2 linked regions of the Lonchura striata genome follow. The protein of the gene in region 1 interacts with the protein of each later gene in a pairwise test. Links are inferred from orthologs where the notes say so. Each region holds a gene or a part of one and is shown in the gene's direction. Other genes may lie near its edges.

Region 1 (10,825 bases):
TAGTTAAAAGATTTGGCAGTGTAACAAACTTCACTTTACAGGAACAGTGTTTGCTTGGCACTATAGGTAACTCTGTTATGCTGAAAACTAGATTCCTTGATATACATTTGGTAAGCACATTTGGTAGAGTGGTTCAGCATTTCCTTCAATTTAACTTTGCCACAATGAGACACAACAAAGCTGTTCCCAGTTGCAAGACTGGAAGCAGAGGCAAAAAGTTTTTCTTTTCATTCCTTCTCTCATCCATGGATAAAACGCCACATATTTTATGTTCCTGTGTGTAGCAGCCTTTTCCTACTCTGGATAAACTTAGCATGCTCTTATTTCTTTCTGTCATCAGTAGTGTGGCCCAGAATATGCTTTTCCTTTGGCAAAGCAGTGTCTTAGGACAAACAGTCTGCAATCATCCTCTGACTCATTTCTTAGTAGGAAACTGAAGGACAGCAAAAATGGAAGATTAGATAAGCACAAGCTTAGCAACCTTTATAGCCTGAAGATAGTCCAGAGAAGCAGGGTCCAAAATATAAAAATTGTCTTAAAAATGACATTGCTAACCATTATGTGTGTGGTTGGAAGTTTGTAGTGGTAGAGGATGCACTGGTAACTATGTGAGGATCACATCTCCTGAAGAAGGCCACAAAGCAGCAAGGATCACAAAGTTCAGGGTGTGCATCTTGGGAGAGTACTACTGCTAACAACATAATGCAAATCCTTAGGGAAGGGGGAGTTTGAAGACCAAGGAATTCAAGGTACTAACTCTGCATGGTGAGCAGTGCACAAGAAGTCTGGACTGGTGCTTGACTAGTTTGCAAGTAAAATTTTACATCCTTGTTTCACCAGCTATGATCCTTATTTAAGCAGTGCCAAGTCCCTCCTGGGAGGGCAGAATTATGAGTGCCTGCAAACTGTGGAAGGATCAGAACAGCCTTTTCTCTAGTGGCCTGGCTCTTTTGTTGACTCAGTTTTTAGAAATTTCTGGTTTTATAATTTTTTATCCTGAGAAATGTGGGTTAAGTTGTATGTGTCAAAAGTTCAGTATAAATGTGATCTTTGTGGTGCTTTTGTTTGGAATAGCTCTAGTTTAGAAAACTTTATTGCAGAATTTATGCAGTGGTAAAGCTGTTCCTACAAAACAGTTTACAGTAGCTGTCATCATCAGATGTTTTCTAGGCACTACATTTTCTTCTGTGCTTGCCTATCAGGATGAAGAAATTAAGAAGGATAATTAACATGAAGCTTTTTGCCCCACAGATGTTACAAAGTACATTTCTGAGTCAGAACCTCCTGGATACAGTGCCTGCCATCTTGTGGACAAGTCATACTGTGTCTGAATCTGAGACAAATATTTAAAGACCACAATATTTTGTGTATGTGATATTTGTAACTCAATGCAAACAATCTTTCTTCTTGGGACTTATTTTTCAATTTAAGTTACTTGAGTTTGCTTGGTTCCTTTAATTTTGAGGATGCTTGATTTCCTCTGCTCCACTTATTAAAACTATAAAACATAAAATTTTCTGCAGTTTTCTATTTAAGTAAGTATAAATAAATAACTTAAAATGTTCATCTGGGAACCAGTCAGAAGTCATTCTGAGAAATCTGTCAAAGCTGCATAAGTGCTACAAGCCAACAATAAGGAGACAATAATTTTAGAAATTTCCTTGCTTCAAATTTGAAAGCAAAAAGATTCCTCTTATTACAGACATAAACAACTTGTACTGATATTTGAAATTAAGATATCTATATTCTTTATTGACCTATATTAGCTTGATTCCTTCTTGGTAGAATGCAAGTGACAGCTCTTATGTCATTCTTTAGTGAGTGAAAAATCCTTTCCAAATGCCGTAAGGATTAATCTTATGGGGAAGGTTCTAATCCCCCCAGTATTTGTCAAAATATTATGTCTGCTGAATGAGATCAGCAGGCATAATAGTCTAAAGGACTTTTGTAGAAGTCCTTTAGAGACAGCCCACTACCTGTTTTTCTAAAATTTATGGTAAATGTGCTCAAAAACAAGTATGTTAAAGTTAAAAAAATTGTTACAAAGGTGATGTTTTTGCTGTTACATTGAAAGTACAATTCTAACATGAAACAGCTTCAGCTGTTGGTCTGACTTAAAATCTAATTTGGACTCAATTTTTTGTTTAAAACAAAAAAGACTGTAATTCAAATTTGATTTAATTAATAAAAGTTAGTGGATGGATTGTCACTATTGTTACTCCCATTTGATTAAAGAAACAATAAATTTCATTGTGTAGGTAGCTGTGTCTGCCCTACAGGTGGTCAGAGCCATTCCTGGCTTTAGGGCAGGTGTCTTGAATTGCTCCTGCAGAGATCCTGGAAAAGGGCCCATTACCAAGCCCTCCCAGCACGCGGGTGGAACACAATTAGTGCACAGAGGTGGCAGCTCCTTCTAATAGATTTGTGAGGCAACTCTGGAGTGCTGAAAGCTATCAAGGAAGTGGTAAAGTAGCTGGGTCAGATATACAAATGAGGGTAACATAAGCTGCTCAGAGAACTGATGACTTACTCAACAATCATCTGGGACAAAACCCAAGTGTTGCAACTGTTTGAAGATTCTAAAATAGCTGGCTCTATTGACAATTAATGAGGCCATGCACAATGTGATAATCATAAGGAACTGTGTTTGCTGACCAGTGCTGGACACTTATTTATAAGCTGGACTAAACCAAGCCATAAATTTGCAGAGAAGCAGTTTATTTTTAAACCACAGATTCTGTTGTGATTGTGTCACAGACCACATGATTTTGCTGCAGGGCAAATTCAAGAAGAGCTGTGCATGCAATCAAGACTTGCAGAATCTCTGCACCCAGCAGATCAGCCAGCTCTCACCAGCCTACCTGAGGCTTTCTAGTTCACTCATCTTTTTTACCAATCTTTGTAAGCATGTTCAATTGTTTACTGATTGCTTTGTTTATCATAAAGGATCGGTCTGAAAAGACAAAAGGTTTCATTTCAAACAAGGAGTGTCCTAAATATTTGGCATCCAGTGTAACAAGCCACTCGAGGCTGCACAAGATCTGGGGAAGTGTTTTCTTACTGTGTAGCAATGGCGGATGAGATTGCATTTCACCATGATTAGTCATCTGTTTGGTAAATGGCTGTTAATGCTCACATTGCTGTTGTGTTTTAGCTCTGTAGCTATGACATTTGTGCCCAGATGATATGCTTCCTGGCTTGCTGCTTCCTACAGACAGCCAGTACCAAGTGACAAGATATGGCATATAATGTCTGAGTTCCTGAAACAGGAACTGACCCCTTTGGACCTGAGACTTGAGAGATTCACTGAAGTGGCTTCAATGAAGGCAGTCCTACCAGAGGTGGGGAGCTGAAATGCTAAACATGATGTCAAAGATATCCTTAAATCAAGTAACCTAAGAAAAAAAACCTAGAAATTATAGACTATTATATAATTCAATATTGGTAACTCATAAAGTGAGAGAAGCATTAGAAAATAAATGCTTATTGGAATATAGCTTAATATAATGTGTGAGTGATGCTAGAAACAGACTTTAAGAGAAGGAGGTATTTGAGGCCTGAAGGAAAGTCTTATTGGACAACTATGAATTTTTAGTAATATGATCTCAATCTTTATACATATTTCTGTATTTATTGCCTATATCCCAATGAAATCACAATAATCCTGGTGTCCAGATGACAGCTGTGTGAATATTAGAATTAAGCACAGAGAATACTGTGTCATTCCTTACTCACTTTAGATCCACAGAGTTGGATCAAAGCACTTCATGAAAACATTTCTGGCTGCTGCCTCAATCAAAGTAGCAGGAAGCTTCACTGTAAGATTTAGATCAGTGATTTCAGTGTCAGATATACGAGCTGGCAAGGCTGATTTTTGCCAATATTATACCAGAGCTTGGCCAAACAGCAGGTCAGGCATTATTCTGGAGGAAGGGCATGAAGAAAGGATTTTTGTACCATTTCATTCAGCAATGACATCAGAGCAGTGGAAATCATGTTTCAGTTCTGACTACAGGAAAAATAATCAGGCAGCTTTATTTTTAAAATCATATCCTTCCTGTACCCTGTCAAGGGAGTAGGAAGATGAATTTGAAGGGTAAATGTTTGGAGAATCATAATTTTCCTCTCTGTTTTGTCATGGCATTAATAGATAATCAATCTATCAAATAATGGATGACTTTATCAAGACAGACCTGCTGTTTTTAAAGGTAAAACTTTTCTATCATAACCGTTTCTTTCTAGTTGTTCATACTAGGAGAACCATTACTGGCAGTGAGTGGTTGTTCTTCTCATAATCCTTTACATGAAGTGCCAAGTGTTCTGAGAAAAAGAAATCTATCATTACCTCTTTTGACACCACACTTCTGTCTCACTCTCTAGGGAAGATAATATGATTTGCATGCTTAAATATTTTGCTGTACTGTGTTTTGCAGTCTGGCAGCTGTTATCAGTTATGATGATCAAATAACACTACAGGAGTTGGTAATTAAGAAGGAAGCAGTACTAGAAGGACAACAAAGTACTAATATTTAGGTTTGGATTAATTTCACAATTCTGTTAATCAATTGCTTTTCTGGGGAATCATTTCCAATTTTAGACTAGATATATACTACTTCTGTTTAACATGATAAATTACACTGAAGTGTGGGATCCTGTTGTCATCTTTGAGGCTTCTCATGGGAATTTCAACACTTGTATCATTGTACTAACTATTGAAATTGTGTTGGAGTTTTTGTTCTGTTTGCTTAGCATTTCAGCAGTTAAGAAAAAACAATTATGCTATCAGATTATTTGGTTTAATGTATCTACCTTGCTTCTCTTTAAATCTGTCTTTGTACATTGATCATTGCTCTGAAACTGCATTCTGGTACAACTCTGTAAGTATATAGTCATAGAAATATATAGTCATAGTCATTCCCTTATCTAGCTTCAACAAATCAGTATATGCAACATTATATACATTTATAAAAAGATATTTATTTGTATGTGTGCAAGTCCTGTGATTTTTAGGCAGGAGAAATTTAAGGTGAGATGAAGGTTTACTTATTTTACACGTTATTGAGAACATACTACAGCATGTAAGATATGGCTAAAAGGCTTTTAAATGTACATCAACTTTTAAACATCATTTAGCTTCTTTTACAGAAACCTACTGCTGTAAAAGCAAAAGCTAGTAAATCCAGCACGCAATTATTTTTGGGGCTAAACTGACATCTGCTGGTGTTCTGCAATAGCATGTGTCCAATCAGTGCGATGACAAAACATCCACTATATTCTTTATACATTTCCATGGTGCTGTTAGCAGCCCTGGTGATGGCTCAACGCAGCAAAGAGAAGCTGAACAGCGACTAGAGCAGGTGAGGCTGCTGATCACACCGTGCCATGGGAACTGAGGATGGAGCAGAACTCTTGTGGATCCATCCTGCTGCATTTGTGTGTCAGGCTTCTGAAACTGCCATGGGGCCCTTTTTTCTTACGATTTTTTTAAAACTAGTTATGTTTATAATCTTCAGGTACACAGCTCATGGGGAAGCAGGGGGAGGGGAGATAAAAAGCTGTATCAGTTTCTAGCCACATTTCCTCATCTACACCTTGAGCTGGCACTGGCCATGTCCCCCCCCAGTCACCCAGTCTGCTGCAGGGAGGGAACTTCTGTGGGTGCCAACACAGCTTTGGGGAAGCTGCATGGGCTTCCTGGGCCTAACCCAGGTAGTTGGTTGGGCTGCAGCTCTATTCCATTAGACTATGAAATTTGGCACAGATTCACAAATAGTGCTACTTATTGAAGCAACAGGAATACAAATTTGGAATTGCTGTTGAAAAATGCTGTTACTGCATTAGCACCAGCCAATAGTTAATTAAGTTTGCTTCAAGCTAAATGAAAAATTCAGTTTTTCATTACACTTAACTTCACAGTTAATTAAGCTTAGTTTCACCCAAGTATGGTCTGACACAGAGACATGAAATTTACTAAAGAGGGATCTCTCCTTTGGGGAGGAGAGAGGAGCAAAACCATCCACTTGTTTATGAAATGGGGAGCTATGGGGAATATTCTCATCCTCTACGTGGTGGATTCCAAATATCAATTTTGTATTTTCAGATAAATGGAGGCGAGACTGTTATCAAATACAATTGGTTACCTGTTGCTTTCATCTTAGATAATGGGGACGAAGGCACTTTCTCAGTTGCATGCTGGTGTCTGTTTCCTAGGTAAATGAGGGATAATGAGGGTTTCAGTTACTGTTGGTCAGGCTGAGTTAGGATTAATGGTTGAATCAAAGGAAGAACAGAAGCACGATACTTTAGTATTGCTTCCTCCTCCACTCAGATGAGGCAGCAGTAAAGGCCATCTGACCTTTGCTTAACCATCTTTACTCCCATCAACATCATCATCACAGAATCACAGAACAGTGTGGGTTGGAAGGGATCTTTAAATATCATTTAGTCCAAGGCCCCTACAATGAGCAGAGACACCCTTCAGTAGACCAGGTTGCTCAGAGCTCTGCCCAACCCAGCCTTGAATGTTTCTAGGGGCATCCACCACATCTCTTGGCAAACTGTGACAATAGTTTACCACCCACATTATAAAAGCCTCCTAATATAATCTAAATCAACCCCCTCCTTCACTTTAAAATCATCATATCTTTTCCTGTTGCGATAGGCCCTGCTAAAGTTTGCCGATCGCCGTGACTGCGAAATGCGCCAGGAGTGCCTGTACTTCCACAGGCTCCCTTCCCTTCCCTTCCCTTCCCTTCCCTTCCCTTCCCTTCCCTTCCCTTCCCTTCCCTTCCCTTCCCTTCCCTTCTCTTCCCTTCCCTTCCCTTCACGCTGCCGGGAGCCGATGGCTCAGGGGAGGGAGTCGGGGCAAGGCCCGGCCGGGGCAACGCCCGCGGCGCCTGCTCGCGGCTCTAAGGGGAAGGGGAGGAGGAAAGGCGGGTGGGGACGGGACGGGACGGGACAATCCGTGCTGACGGTGGCTGCACCCGGGCGAGCGGAGGCGAGGAGGGCTGGCGAGCACGGCTCGGCACGGTAAGGGAGCCCGGAGCCTGGCGGTGCCGCGGGCAGGGCAGAACGCGGCGGGGGGGGCTTTGCTCCGCCGCCGGGGCCGCTCCTGCGCGCCGGCGCTGCCCTCCGCGCCGCTCCCAGTGCTCCGGCCCGGCGGCGGGGACGGGGAGAAGCCGCGGCTCTGGGCTGGTCCCGCCCCGCAGGAGCCCCCGGGGCACCGCGGGCAGGTTGGGGCTTCGCGGGCCAGCGGCGTCCCGAGCGGCACGGTCCCGGTCTCGGTCCCGGGACGGTCCGGGAGAGGCCCTGGGCGACTCCCGCCCTCGGCGATGCGGGCGGGGGCCGAGCGAGGCCGGAGTTTCGCTTTCCCGAGTGTGGCAGGCGGAAGGTGGCCCCTTTCTTTTGGGAATGCTCTCGGGATCCTCGCGGCAGCAGCTCCTCTCAGACCGGCCCTGCCCTGCCCCGAGGAGCGGGTTACTCACAGGATTAAGCCACTCACAGGATTATTCCAAAACTATTGATTACTTGATAGAAGTAGCACTCTAACCTCTGAAATCGCTTCTGCCGCCGGAACACACCGTGCGGATTCTATTTGTACTATGACAGTACAAAATTCAATGTGACCACAATGCCATTGGTTCTTCCTGAAATAATAATATGTCAGAGTCTTTTTTGTTGTGATTACTGGATTTTATTCTCTCACAAATGCCTGGGAAATGTAAACAACTTTGAGATAGTATTTCTCAGCAAGTTGGTAAACTAGGAAGTTGTCCAGAGTTCAGACGAAGTGGTGGTCCAAGAAGGTGCTGTGTTAGGGCTTTGCACTGCAAAAATCCGAGTGCTCTGATAAACCTGTATATCCTGCTGGGTTGTTAATAGCCTTCAACCTGTATTTCATTCTCAGTGTTGCTGACCAGTATCTGTCTTAGACTCTGATGTGCAGGGAACCCTCTAAACCACCCGTGGTGTTGGAAGGTTGTTTGGGATTTCTAGTGAAGAGGACTGTGTAGGAATTGTTTAATTTAATTTAATTTAATTAAGTTGTGTCAGATTTTGCAAGAGATTAAGGGAAGGGCAGCAACACATTTGTTTGGCCACACTGCGTTAGGATAGTTGTAATTGTAAGCAGTTCTTATTGGATGGGTTTTTGGTTGGTTGTATTTTTACATACCAAGCAGAGAGGTGGGCTATTACCTTCTTTTTCCCTTGTCCCCAGCCTAATTTTCAAGATGTGGAGTGTGAAACACACTTGTGCATTTGCACTGGCTGTATGAAGTGGTGGCTCAAATAGCTCTTCAGTGTTGGCATTTAAAGCAGAAGGGACATGAGAAAAATGAAATTAAAAGCTGAAGTTGTGGTTACATCTGCAGTACGCGGTACTTTGAAGAGGCCTTTTTTGTAGTCCTGATGTCATCTGGATGTTTATTAGGAATTTTTGTTTTGATAGATAACTTGAAGGAGTTAATACATTTTTTTTACCATTCACTGTAGTATTTTGTACATGTTATTTGTGCTACAGATTTGAAATTTAAAAAAAAAAGAGATGCTACAAAGTGCTGCAAGAACCTAAGACTTGTTCACGTTTGTCTACAAAAAAAAAAAAAAAGTGAAAGTGCAGAAAAAGCACAGTGATTACTTTGAAATGGTTGTTCAAAACCATTTGGTGGTAAGAAATAAACATGCAATATAAAGCAAATATCAAAACTTGAAGTGTTCATGCTGGAAGTTATATCATTTTGAAATCTCTGAAAGAGTGTCTTTCAGTTTCTTAGAACTTGCTTGTCAGTGAAGCAGATCTGAGCAGCTGAAGTAGTTTTGTATTTAACCCCACCTGGCAACTGAGTACCACACAGCTGCTCACGCAATGCACCCCTGAAGAAACTGGATGGGTGTAAGAAAACTCATGGGTTGAGATAAGAACTGTCTCATAATTGAAATAAAATAATTAAGAAAAATAATAATTTAATAGTTGTAATGAAAAGGAGAGTAGCAGAGGGAAATACAATCCAGCAAGTGAAGCAAATTAGAACAGTTGCTCGCCAGCAACAAACCAATGAATGCCCAGCCAGTCCCTGAGTAGCACATCCCTCCAAAAACCTTCCTGGTTTTATTGCTGAGCATGATGCTTTATGGTCTGGAATATCCCTATGGTCAGCTGGGGTCAGCTGTTCTGGCAGTGTCCCCTCCTGGCTTCTTGTACACCCCCAGCCAACACCAGCGTACCAAGTGAGGACAGTAGATCGTGATTCAGCTCTGTAGTTTAGTCACAAGGAGTAAACTTCTCTTTTCTAAAGAAAACAGATCAGTGTTTTTTAAAGGTATAGCTGTGAAATACTTGTTGCTACAAAATCTTACTGAGTTTCAACATCTTTGACTGCTGTCTTGTTCCGTTTTCATTCTGCCAAAGTTGCAGTGTGAGTATGAGAAAGGTGGGAAAGAGCAATGTTCCAGGCTGACAGCACCTGTAGCCACTTATGTTCTTCTGTACCAGCTCCTGTGTTTGTCCTGGCCACAGGACTACTATCAAACACACTCTTGATTGAGTACACAATTCCCTTTGTAATACACCTTTCCACATTTCTGCTAAATCTGCTGAGAAGACTGTGGGACTCCTGAAGTATATAAACATAGGTGTTTCCTGGTGTATCCCCATGCCTACAGTGCAGCTGAGTAGTCCTGTGTAACTTGGAAGAGTGAACAAACCTGTGACAAGTTCTTTGTGGAAGTGTTTATAGACTTGACTGAAATCCTGATGAAAGCTGTATTGTGTGAGGAAGGTAATCAGCATTATTCCAGGGACTTTTCCATGCTCTGGGAGAGTGGAAAGGCTTGTGTCATTGTATACACTGCACTTCTGTGCTGGGTCTCACCCAAACTTATGTGGATGGAGTGAGCCCAGTCCTAAATAGACACATCTGAAATTCTTTCTCTTTGCATGTTGTCTTTTGTACCTGTAAATTGCATCAATGCAATTTCTCTTCTTTTATTCTTAGTACTGCTGTGGGTAATTGGAGCTCCTATATAACGTTTGTGGCACCATAGAATTAATATTCCAAATATAGGTTGCCTTTTCCAGATAGTACTGAGTGAAGATACTTGCATGTGTACAGAGGGATCGTGTGTGCAGCAACAGAATGGAGTGTGGGTCTTGGAGAGCTGTCTGATGGTCCTTAGGAGGAAGGGGGAAAGGGAGGTGCTTGGTCAGCACTGATGCCAGGAGATCTTGTTCCACTAAGAAAATGGTGGGCAGACTATAGGAAGTGGGTAGGTGGGGAGGAGGAGAGGAAGTCTGCATTGAAACCACAGTAGTTTCTTGGCGGTGATCAGCATTCCTGTTCTCTGCAACAAATTAACAATTGGTGGAGGAAAATTTACCATACAAACTCGTTAAAACATTGCTAAGCAAAAATGGCAAGGGTAGATATATTAGATATATTTGATAGTTGTAAAAGCTTGGAGTTTAGTTGGACATGCTTAATTGTTTGGGTTTCTTTTTCCTTCAATATATTTACTTATTTCAAATTACAACAGAGTTAAATCGTATTTTTTAAATATTTTCATTTAAATAAGTTTCACCACAAACCAGACTCATGTTGGTTAGCAACTACTATGTGGCCTATCATAGTGTTCTGTTTTTCAGGTGAACAAGAGGGATCAGAAATAGTGTTCTTGGAGAATTACAAGAATGTCAGATTGTTTCATATACTAATAAAGATGCCCCACCTCCCTACTTTAGTATTTTTAACTTATAAAGGAAGAATTGGTATTGGGCCAAAGTGTAAAAAATTCCCAGTGAAAAGGAATTGGGAAGTAGGCAACAACA
Region 2 (10,787 bases), on another chromosome or scaffold:
GTGAAATTGCATTGAAATCCCTGGACTGAAATCTACAGGCACACCAGGATGTGCCTCCAGATAAATATTTTTGGTAAATGTCAGTGGAAAGACTCCAACAATTTCTAAGCACACAGCAAGGCAGAAATAAATTGCTGCAGTCCATGCAATTTTCCAAGACAAATTTGGGGTAGCTATAAAAGCTTCACTTTGTGACCAAGAGCCTAAAAGAGCAGGAGGTGGCTGGATGCCATGTTGGAATGTGGCCCTCACAGATACGTGGTGGCACTTCCCAGGACAGCCAAATGATGCCTCTGCTGCAATTCCTTTGTGTCCCCAACAATGTACTGAGCAGCAACTGACCTGGAGCTGAGCAGGGCTTGTCCAGCAGCTGCAGCACAGCATGACAGGTTTAGCCACAGTTCAGAGAAAGAAAAATAAAACCATTTGGTGTTGGGTTTGAGACGGGCAGGACCTGAAGCTGCCAAGCACCAGAATGACAGTTGCATTGTCCTTGCACACTCTGCCACCTGTTGTCATCAGCTGGAGGTACAGGGGACATCTGCAAGTCAGGCCATGGAGTTGCAGGAATCATGAAAACAACATTTGACAAGGGTACTGGTGGATGTTGGATCATGGAAAACATAGAAATCATGGAGTCATTCAGGTTGGAAAAGACCTCTAACATCATTGAGTACAGCACTCCCACCACTAACTGTAGCCCTAAGCATCACATCTCTATTTCTGTTAAATCCCTCCAGGGATGGTGACTCCACCACTGCCCTGGGCAGCCCATTCTGATTCTTGACCAGTCTTTCAGTGAGGAAATGTTCCTTAATATCCAACCTGAACCTCCTTTGGTTCAACTTGAGGCTGTTTCCCCTTGTCCTATCACTTGTTCCCTAGGAGAAGAGCCTGACCCACACCTGGATCCACCCTCCTGCCAGGGAGTTGTAGAGAGCCAGAACGTTTCCTGTATCATAAAGGGAAGACAGGGATGTACTGGCTCTCCAGATCCATGCCCATGCCATGCCACAGTACCTGCCTTGTGCTCTCCCAAGACTGCACTGCAATGAGCACAGGGCTCCCACGCTCAACTCTGTTACATCCCAAGTCTTACACTGAAATCCTTTCCTCAGTAATCCAACTCTGGCAGCCAAAGCTTCCAACACAGAAATAAAGGAAGAATTAAGAAGAATTTATTCACAGAAAGGGTTATCAGACATTGGAATGGGCTGCCCAGGGAGGTGGTGGAGTCACCATCCCAGGAGATGACTGGATGTGACACTTAGTGTCTAATTGACGTGGTGGTGATCAGTCATAGGTTGGACTTTATGATCTTGGAGGTCTTTTCCAACCCATTGATTATGTGAAATCAGGCTTGCCATGTCCTGCCTTGGAAGAGACCTGGGCTCGGTGGGGTGCTCTAGCTGGACCTGCTGGCCATGCCATGGGGACACTCTCCAGCAAGTGGCAAAAACATTCCCTACCTCCAGGTCCTGCTTGTGAGCTGGTTTCTCACCTAGGCATCTGCCCCTGCAGCTCAGTGTCCCTGTGGAGCTCAGCTCTTCTGCAGATTCATCTGGAAACCTCTTCAGCTTTGCTTTTGAATTCTTGGGCAAGCAGAGGCAGTTGCTGAGGCTTCCGTGCAGAAAACACAGCAGATGACGTTTTGGGGTTACAGCCCTCCTTGTAACACCTGAGAAAGTAGGAGACCCAGACAGGACAGAGGTGAGGGCCCCACTGGACCTCAAGCACCTTAGCCAAGCAGTCCTGTCCAAGACCCTCTCCCAGTCCCACCTTGTTCTGTCTCCAGTGCTCTCCAATGCCCTCCCAGATCCTGCACCAAGACTGTCCCTGCCCCACATAGCAGCCCAGGGTCTCTTTGGGAGCACAAGCAAAGACTCAGTAGCAACATCTGTTTGCCCAAAGCATTCAAAACACAGTATCAAAAGATGAATATCCTCCCCATGCTTCCATGCCTGCTCCTCCTGGCACAATCTTTGCTCCTCAAGGACCCTCCTGCTGGGTCTGGACTACTACTCTGCCCTCTCCAGATGGATACTTCGGCTCAGAAGTTGTTTTTGTCCCAGAGTCTGAGCAAATTACCCCATCACCAGGGCAGGGCTGCATCTGGGCCTGCCTTGGAATGTGTAAAGGGACTGAAGGGGATCCATTTGGGATCCATTTTTCCCACCTCCAAGGTGGAAAGAGAAGGGATCTTAGCACAGAGCCCTGTGCCAGCCCACTCCAGCACAGCCAGCAGGATAACAGAGGAAGGACTGTGGAGCTCTGTGATTCTGTTTTCCTGTTGAAACAAGGGGGATCTGTCCTCTCCCTGAGCCCAGGCCAGGCCACAAGAGGGTGATGACTGTTGCAGCAGCACCCTGGGACTCTCCAGCTCTGGCTGGGGAGGGAATTATAAAAACAGACTCTAGCTCCCAGCCCCCATGAAAAGTGCATCCCTGAGCCCCAGACAGGGCCCATAGCCCCTGCAGTCCCTTCTGGTCCCACTCCTGTTACTTGGCCTTCCCATTTGGGTTAAGGGTGTCCTGACAGAATGGGAGCAGACCTCCTTTAGGATCCTGTGGACAGGAACCTCTGGGCATGGAGAATAAAGAGGGAACTGCCCTACGGAGCCCTGCAACAGGGGAAGGATGAGCTCCAGTCCCACCTGCCTGGCCTGAGCAGTACTTGATTGGTGCCACATACTGCTGAGCAGGAAAAAAGAGAGGGCACACATGGTCCTCTCCATGTCCAGACAATGTCTGTCCCCACACAGGCCAGACACCCCCACGAGGGGCTCTGCTATCACCCTTCAGTCCAGCCTCTTGGACAGGAGTGAGGAGAGAGCACTCTGAGAACAGGTGAACCCCAGCCATGGCTTCCAAAAAGGACCTGCTGGGGAGGAAGAGCAATGCCCAACCTGCTCTACCTCCACCCTGCTCAGTTTCAGCCCTTCCCCATCATCTCCCCATGGAACCTGAGGCAGAGGAACAGATGCTGCACAGGAACAGCTCTGTGCCTTCCCCTCTCAACTACCTGAAAACAAGGCACTCTCTCCCACTGGGAAGGAGCCTCTCAAATCCCTGCAAATCCCCACAGCACATTCCAGCAGAAAGGCTGCGTGGAATAGGCCAGCCCAGGGTGGTCTGACCAGCAGCTCATGGGCTGGATCCCAGTTCTATCCTGTTACAGCCCCTTCCTGGGAGAGGCAGAAGCAGCCAGTAGAAACAGCCTGCTCTGTCCCGCATCCAAGCACCTTGCTCTGTTCCTGCCCAGGTCCCAGCATGAGCACTGGGCCCTGGCTAGGGACAAAGAGGATGTGGCTCTGCTCTTCAGTAGGAGGAAGCAGCTATACCAAGCCTCAGCCTAGTGGTCTCTTGCCATGGGCTCCAGGAGCAGGATGTTCCCAGTGAGGTGGAGGGTGGGAGAGGTCCAGATCACAAGGCACCACTATCCTTTGTCCAGTCCCTTCCTTTGCTCTTCCTTTCCTCCATCTCTATTCAGCAATGATGTAATTTCTTCAATTATTAATCATCTCGCTGCAACAGTGGATGAATCAAACCCATTAAACTTCCCCTGGGAGCAGCCCCAAGGAAGGAGGCAGGTTTCCAGAAAGTACATTAAGGACAATGCAGACAGGCACTTGAGACAAGTGGGAGGAATGGTCTCGCTGCTCCACGCAGGCCATTTCCCATCAGCTGGGATTTGCTGTCCAATGCACAGGGACTGGTAAGGCCTGTGATGCAAACAGGCTGTCACACACCCTGCTGGGCAGCTCCAGGAGGGTCCTGGTGTGGCAATTATTTCAGCTGAAAAAGTCAGAAAAGAGAGATATGCTGGGAGGATTGCTTACACAAGAGCTCCTGACAGCCTACATGCTAAACAGCTGTTTCCAGATTGCCCCATCACCCCAGCAGTGTTTTGCACAGTTTCTCCCCACCTGGAGCAAAGTCACTGATTTGTTATGATCTGCTTTTAAGGATTCAGGAACCCAGCTGGCACAGTCCCAGCATGGCCCATTTGCCATATCTGGGAATTCAGTTTTCAGTCTCTTCACAAAACAAAACAAAACAAAACAAAAAAAAAAAAAAAAAAAAAAAAAAAAAAAGGAATTCCTCCCAGTATTGTAGAAATGTTCCAAGTGAGAAATTCACCTCTGGAATAGGATGATAGTCCTGGTCAAAATTACAGGAGCCAGTAATTCGCCAGGTTGAGAGAATCCCAGAATGGTTTGAGTTGGAAGAAACTTTAAAGTTCATCCTGTCACTTAAACAGCAGGAAAAACAAAACCTTTTGAACAATTTTTAATGTTAGAGAACTCAAGCGTTATTTTATTCTGGCCAGGATGATGTTCTGGCCAGGATGTGCAACAGAAGTAATTTCATCCACACATTGGGTTGTGCAAAGAAAATAATTCCATCACATGTCTCTTTTCTAGATTTTTACATACTTATACAGTTAAAACTCAGAGAGATTCATTGGTTCAATGTTTATTGGTCTGAAGTTACACAGTTCTTAGAATTTGGTTTCCTATTGGTTATTGATCTCTTCACCTTCGATACTCATCGGGCCCTCATTCTTCTTTTATGATCTTTTCCTGGACTAAGTGTCTCCGACACAACAGGAAGGATGTTCAGATGTTGATGTTCATTAATGGTCGCTTATCTCTTGTGCATCCTTTGGCACTCCCAGTCCCTTGAGATGTTAAACTCATCAGGCCTTGCCTAGGGAACAGTCTCTTGAAAAGAAACTTCCATTCCCTTCCTGGGCAAAGATGAACGAAACCACTGACTAAAGTTAGTTTAAAAATTTAGAAGTTGTATAATTTCCAACAATCCTGTTCCACCTCCTGCACACCTTTGACTAGACCAAGCTGCTCCAAGCCCTATGCAGTGTGGCCTGGGTAACTTCCAGCAATGGGGCAGCCACAGCTTCTCTGGGCAACCTGTGCCAGGGCTTCAACCACCCTTACAGTCAATAATTCCTTCCTGATATCCAATCTAATGCTACAAAAATCTCTGATTAGAGTGACAGGACCAGATCAAGTTATAATAAAACACAGTCCAGGGGAAACAAAATCCTTCTCTCACCTTTCCTCTCTTCTTTTTCAGACCCCATTGTGAAAAATGCATATTTGTGATTGGCTTTTCGCAAATGTTACAATGAATATTATATGTGTAATGTTAGAAAGTTATGCTGTATTAATTCTCTTACGTATTGTGTTAAGTGTAGTTTTAGGTTACAACATAATGTTAAAATAGAGACTATGTATGTGGGGGGACTTTTCTTTTTAGGAATGAGATACTGGCTTCGAGGAACACCTAAATCTTCCAAAGGAGAGGAATTTATGGCTTCTTATGAGAAGAAGCTAATTTCTTCAGGCCTTTCTCAGACTCGAAGACGCCAGGGGATTAAAGGAAACAGTTGACATACAACAGAGTTTCTTGTTTAAAATAGAACGTATGCATAACCATAAAGGATGTATGAATATGCAACAAGTGTATTAGTTTAAGGGTGATTCCTTTGTTCACAAGTCATGCTTTTCGTGACTTAGTGTATGAGAGCATCCGGACATCCATAATTCTTTGCTTTTTATTGTCTTGTAATTGTCCTAACTCTAAACTTTATTACCCTAATTGTATTATTATTTTTATAACAATTTTATTATTATTAAACGTATAAAATTTTAAAAACCAAATGATTGGCGTTTTTCAGACCCCTGTAACCACATTTTGCCCCTCTGCCAATGCTACACACTTCCTGTTGGGCTCTGCCAGCTGTGCCTGCAGCAATGCCCTGCAGAGCTCCCACCCCCAGCCTGGATCCCACACGGGAAAAGCCTCACACGACCCTTCCGCAGGCTGCGGGGCTCTGCTGGCGCTGACAGCCGGCGGAGCCGCCTCCCCACCCCCGGCCCAGGCCGTGGGGAGCCACGAACACCCGTGAGGGGCGGCCCGGCCCAAGGCGGACAGCGGGGACGGGGCGGCGGTGCCGGGTCACCCCGTGGCCACGCGCCGGGCTCGGCCGAGGGGCCGCAGCCTCACGGAGCCATACGGGGCTCGGCGGCCGGCGGCCCCGGAGGGCTCAGCCGCGGCTCGGAGCCGGTGCACGGCGGCCCCGGAGGGCTCAGCCGCGGCTCGGAGCCGGTGCACGGCGGCCGCCCCCGGGCCCGGCGGAGCCCACGGCGGCCCCTGGGCTCGGCCCGGCGCGTCCCGATCAGTCCGCCGACGCCAGGGGGCGCCGCGCCCCATACAGGGGAGGGGCGGGGCGGGACACCGGTGTCTGAGCGGCAGGGCCGCGGACCAATCACAGTAGGGAACTGCGCAAAGGCGTGGCCGCGGCGCTCGGGTGGGCGGTGCTAAGGGCGCGGCCCCTGAAGGCGGAGCAAAGAGCAGGGGGACTGGGGAGGCGGGAGCTTGCGTTGATTGACGTCCATATGAACCAATGAGAGTGAGAATCCGGGCCGGTGGGGGGGGGCTCGGCTGGGAGGGTGGTGCCCGCGGGCCGTGAGGGGCAGGCGGGCGGGCCAATGGCGCAGGGCCCGCGGTGGCGGCGCGGCGCGGGCCGGGCGGCGGGCCGGGTCGGGCGGCCATGGAGCGGGTGAGCAGCACCATGAAGCAGGTGGCCAACCCGCTGCCCAAGGTGCTAAGCCGGCGGGCAGGCGGCGGCAGCCTGGAGGCCGAGCGGGAGAGCTTCGAGCGCGCCCAGGTGCGGGCAGGGCGGGGCGGGGCGGGGATGCGAGCGGTGAGGAGGGGAAGGCGGTGGCTGACGGGCGGGGCGAGCCGGGGCGCGGCGCGGTGCGGTGGGCACGGCTCGCCCGTACCTGTGCCAGGCGGGCGGGGTTACCCGAGGTGGGCGAGGTTGTTTGGGTGGGCGCGGCCAGCCGGGTGAGCCAGAGCCAGATGGAGCTGCCTGGCGGGTTGGTGCTGGCGCAAGGGCGCAGCTGGGTTGGCGGCAGGTCGGGGGGATTGGCGGAGGAGGGCCGCGGGTCGCCCTGGGGCGACGGGGTTGGGGACCCGCCGGACTTCGTGGCTAGGGCTGGAGCCGGCCCTGGAGGAACAGCCGGGATGCCCCAGCCCAGCAGTGTTTGTTCAGCCTGGCCTTCCCAGCAGCGGGGCTAGGGAACATTGACCCGCTGGCCTGAGCTGCCAAGTCTCCAAGCCCGGCCACAGCCAGGCATCATGCCCAGGACGGTGCCACCCTGTCCTTGGAACCTCCCTGAGCACACATAGCCTGTGTTCCCTGGCTGGAGGGAACACAGAAGTGGCTCTTTGGCCAGTGGAGTCAGTTCTGCTCCTGTGTCACACCGAGACCCCAGGTGTGGACAGGGTCTGTCCCTGCAGTTGGCTCCTGGGAAGAGGCACTGTCAGCAGCATCCAGAGTATGGGGGTGGATGGGGCCCTTTGCTCAGGTTTTAGGTGATGGATTGATGTCCTGCACAGAGGAAAGGTGGCAGCCAAACTGGAAGGGCAGTAGGGGTGCTTTGGTGGAAAAAGCTGGTGATTTGGGGAAAGGCTGTGCTTGGAGCAGCTGGGGATATGCCTGGATAAAGCATCAAAGCATGGGGGGAGTGAAGAGAGAGGGATGGCGGCAGAGGGAGCTGGGGACAGCTTGGCTCTGCTCCATGTCCAGGGATGGAAAGTACCAGTGAAGCAGAACTGTCCAGACCTACCGTGGGAGAGGAAGGGAAACTGAGGCAGGAGCAAGGGTAGAAATGGGACCAGTGGAAGCAGACTTGAATGAGCCCAGAGTGGGAGCAACACATGGGATATGGCTTAGAGATGGAAATAAACACCAAGGATCATGTCTGAGGGGGTTTTGCAGGAAGAAAACCCACCAGGCCATGAAGTTGGATGCAGGATCATGTGCAAGGCTCTGCTCACCTTCCCGCTCAGGTTACCTCAGACATCAATTATTTACTCATACTGCTAAAGGTAGGAATGGAACTGGTTTGCTCCTGGAACCTTCTGGCTCCGTGTTGTGTCAGCAACAGCCGGATGGGCCTGGAGCTCTCTCAGGCTCCCCCTGAGCTAGTGGTTTCCTGGGAAGGGCTGAGTGGAGAGGGTGGTGGAGCGGCACCACTCCCCACATTGCTACGAGCTGGATTTCATCTTCCTCATCTTATTTCCAGACTAATGACACAGCATGGCCTTGTCTAGCTTTTTCTTCTTCTGTGCTTCAGCTCCGTGCAATTCCCTTTCTAACTAATTTTTTCTCCCTCTTTTTTTTTTTTTTTTTTTTTTTTTTTTCCCCATAATTCTCTCCACTTTAGAGAACTTGCCAGGCACCCGTTAGGTCTTGGTTGTACAATTTTTGTCCAACTTCTTCTTTCTGAGGTTTTTTTTTTAGAGAAACTTTGTGGCTTTGGGTTTTTTCTTTTTGAAAGTGACTTCTTTTAAGAAAACTTTCATCTGTTAAATGGCTTTAAAATGAAAAATTTCCCTGTGTTTTTAGCATGTACAGACTCCTTCCCTCCCCCCAATCCTGGCTGTCTCAAGGCAGCAGCACATACATCGCAACGCTTATTTTGGGGTAAAAGTGCTAAAACAGGCAGAAAGTGTATCCAAATGGGCCTTTGGGGAGCCTGAGGAACACCTGCTTGGGTTGGCAGCACCCAGTTTCTGTGGTCTGAGCTCAGTTTGGAAGAACAAGAGCACCCTACAAAGCTGTGGTGGTGGTAGGACATCCTAGTAGTGGGGAGGTCTGGAGGTGGGATGTTCCTGTGGTGATAGGATGTTTCTGTGGTGGTGGTAAACTGGTGCTAGAATTGTTCCATGGTGGTGGGATATTCTGGTGGTGGAAAGCTTCCATGGTGGTTATTGCATTTGCATTGCACAACAATTCTGTCCTGACAGCCTCCATCTGTTGGCTTGCAGACAAACAGCAGTAAATTTCCTGGTGGCCTCTCTTCTGCTCCTACAGTTGTGCAAGTATATTGATTTTCCTGGGAATGCAAATGTGGGAAACCTGAGGACATGCCCAGACATGGTGTTCCTTTCATGCTGTTCTTGCTGCCTGCTGGGCAAGAGCAGCTCAGGAAGAACAAGACACAGCCAAGGACTGCTCTATTCCTTTTCTGTCGATGCTGATAATTTTCATAGGAAGTTGAGCAACAGGGACACCAAATCCTGCAGTTCTGCTGCCATCAGGGAGTATGAGTGTTGCAATGACTGTTCCCCCTTTGCTGATGTTTCATGTGGTGATTCACCATTCACCACCTCAACCTTGGCACAAATCTTTGGGCACAGCAAGGATCACTAACGGAGGAGAAAAAAACATTGAAAGTGAAAATCCTGCCACATTTTAAGATAAATGTTTCACATGGTGTCTGAAGTTTGCATCCCCTCCAAGTTCTCCTGGTTGGATTAAGGGGTATGCGCTGGTGCTGGAGCTCTGCAGGGAAGGTCTTCTTTGTTTAGAGTAGTGCTTGGGATCTTCCCTCCTTGGGACCTTCCCTCCTTCTTCCTCTTTCCATGCTGTAATTGTCCACAGCAGACATCCTTGTGCCATGATGGAGCCAAGGACTGAAATTCCTTCTGTGCTTGGCTAGTTGGCAAAGACTGGGTGTTCAACAATTGGATGAGCCAAAGTGTTGAGGGTGAAGTCAGGGTTGGAAGGACACAGGACTTCAGCGGGGCAGGGATGATGCTCCAGGGGTGATCCCCCAGCCTCTCCTGCTCCTTCACTCATGTTTTGCAGTGCCATGGGATATTTATTTCCCTTCATTCCCAGCAGGGATATGGCCAGCAGGGCATCAGTGCAGGTGCAACTGCAGACTCCCAGAGGTGGTACATGACATTCCCAAGCAAAGCAGCAGCTGACTCCTGGAAGGCTGGAGGTGTGGAAAGATCCTTACGAAAGATCCTTACACAGCTCAGCTCTTCCTGCACCAACTTGTTCCTTCTTTTTTTAAACTCATCACTGCATTGGGCAAAAACGCTCAGATATCAAAATTGAGGGAAGTGACATTAAAGCTGTAGTAGGACATGCCCTGGTCTTTAGTCCTTGTCCCCATCTTGTGGATTTTGGGTGGAAGGGAGGTGGCATATTATGCTGGTGTGTTGTCATCTCCTGGGCTGCAAAGTCACCAAATAATTATCTTGTGTCTCCCATCCTGAGCACTGCTCTAGTGCCCAGCTGTGTTCCATCAGGAGCCATCATGTCCCACACCACTGCAGGCTGCCCTGTCCTGAGTCCGTGCTGTGTCCCAAGGATGAGAACATGAGGTGGAGACAGTGCCCAGGGCTGTGGAGGAGCTACAGAAATTCCATGTTTGTTTCCCAGAGCTCATGGCTGCTGGGGCTTCATGCCATCCAATGAGGCTGCATGCCCAGCATGGTCCCTGCCATAGGGACAATTCCAAGGGATGGAATCCTGACAAGGGTGGGGGTTGGGAGGAGATCCTTCTTTAAAATTCCTGCAGAAAATCTAAAAAACTTACATTTTAGGTTCTTTGGCTGCCGTTTTTTTCTGGTAAATTCAAGGAGCAGCAAAGGGGAACAGGGACCACTTGGACTGCCCACAGCTGCCACTACCTCTAGCACATTTACACGATGGTCCCTAGGACTGTGTGCAACAATAAAAGCAATTTATGGCTCAGAAATTACCCTGCAAAGACATATTTGCAGCAGAAGGTGATTGCTGGCTACATCTCCACTCCTGCCATCAGAGTCTCCAGGGTGGTGCTGGGGATGTCAGATCCTCCTGCTAAGGATTTCCCAGTGGGAAGGTGTGGCATTTCCATGCCAGGGAGATGCAGAACTCTGAATGTAGCTGATGCCACTTCTGCTCTGGAAGGTTTT

Evidence for each region.
Region 2: the proteins of LITAF (region 1) and HIP1 interact in binary tests that used the Homo sapiens proteins (3 or more experiments, as listed by UniProt). The link is inferred for Lonchura striata from reciprocal best matches to the Homo sapiens genes LITAF and HIP1.

What each region holds. Positions count from the first base shown.
Region 1 is NC_134618.1:7,966,200-7,977,024, reverse strand, and holds the start of LITAF (lipopolysaccharide-induced tumor necrosis factor-alpha factor), read left to right. Parts: upstream 1-6,870; 5' UTR 6,871-7,029; intron 7,030-10,825.
Region 2 is NC_134622.1:1,002,400-1,013,186, reverse strand, and holds the start of HIP1 (huntingtin-interacting protein 1), read left to right. Parts: upstream 1-6,525; 5' UTR 6,526-6,576; coding exon 6,577-6,693; intron 6,694-6,921; exon of another isoform or gene 6,922-7,838; coding exon of another isoform or gene 7,839-7,880; intron 7,881-10,787. UniProt on the Homo sapiens protein: Plays a role in clathrin-mediated endocytosis and trafficking. Involved in regulating AMPA receptor trafficking in the central nervous system in an NMDA-dependent manner. Regulates presynaptic nerve terminal activity.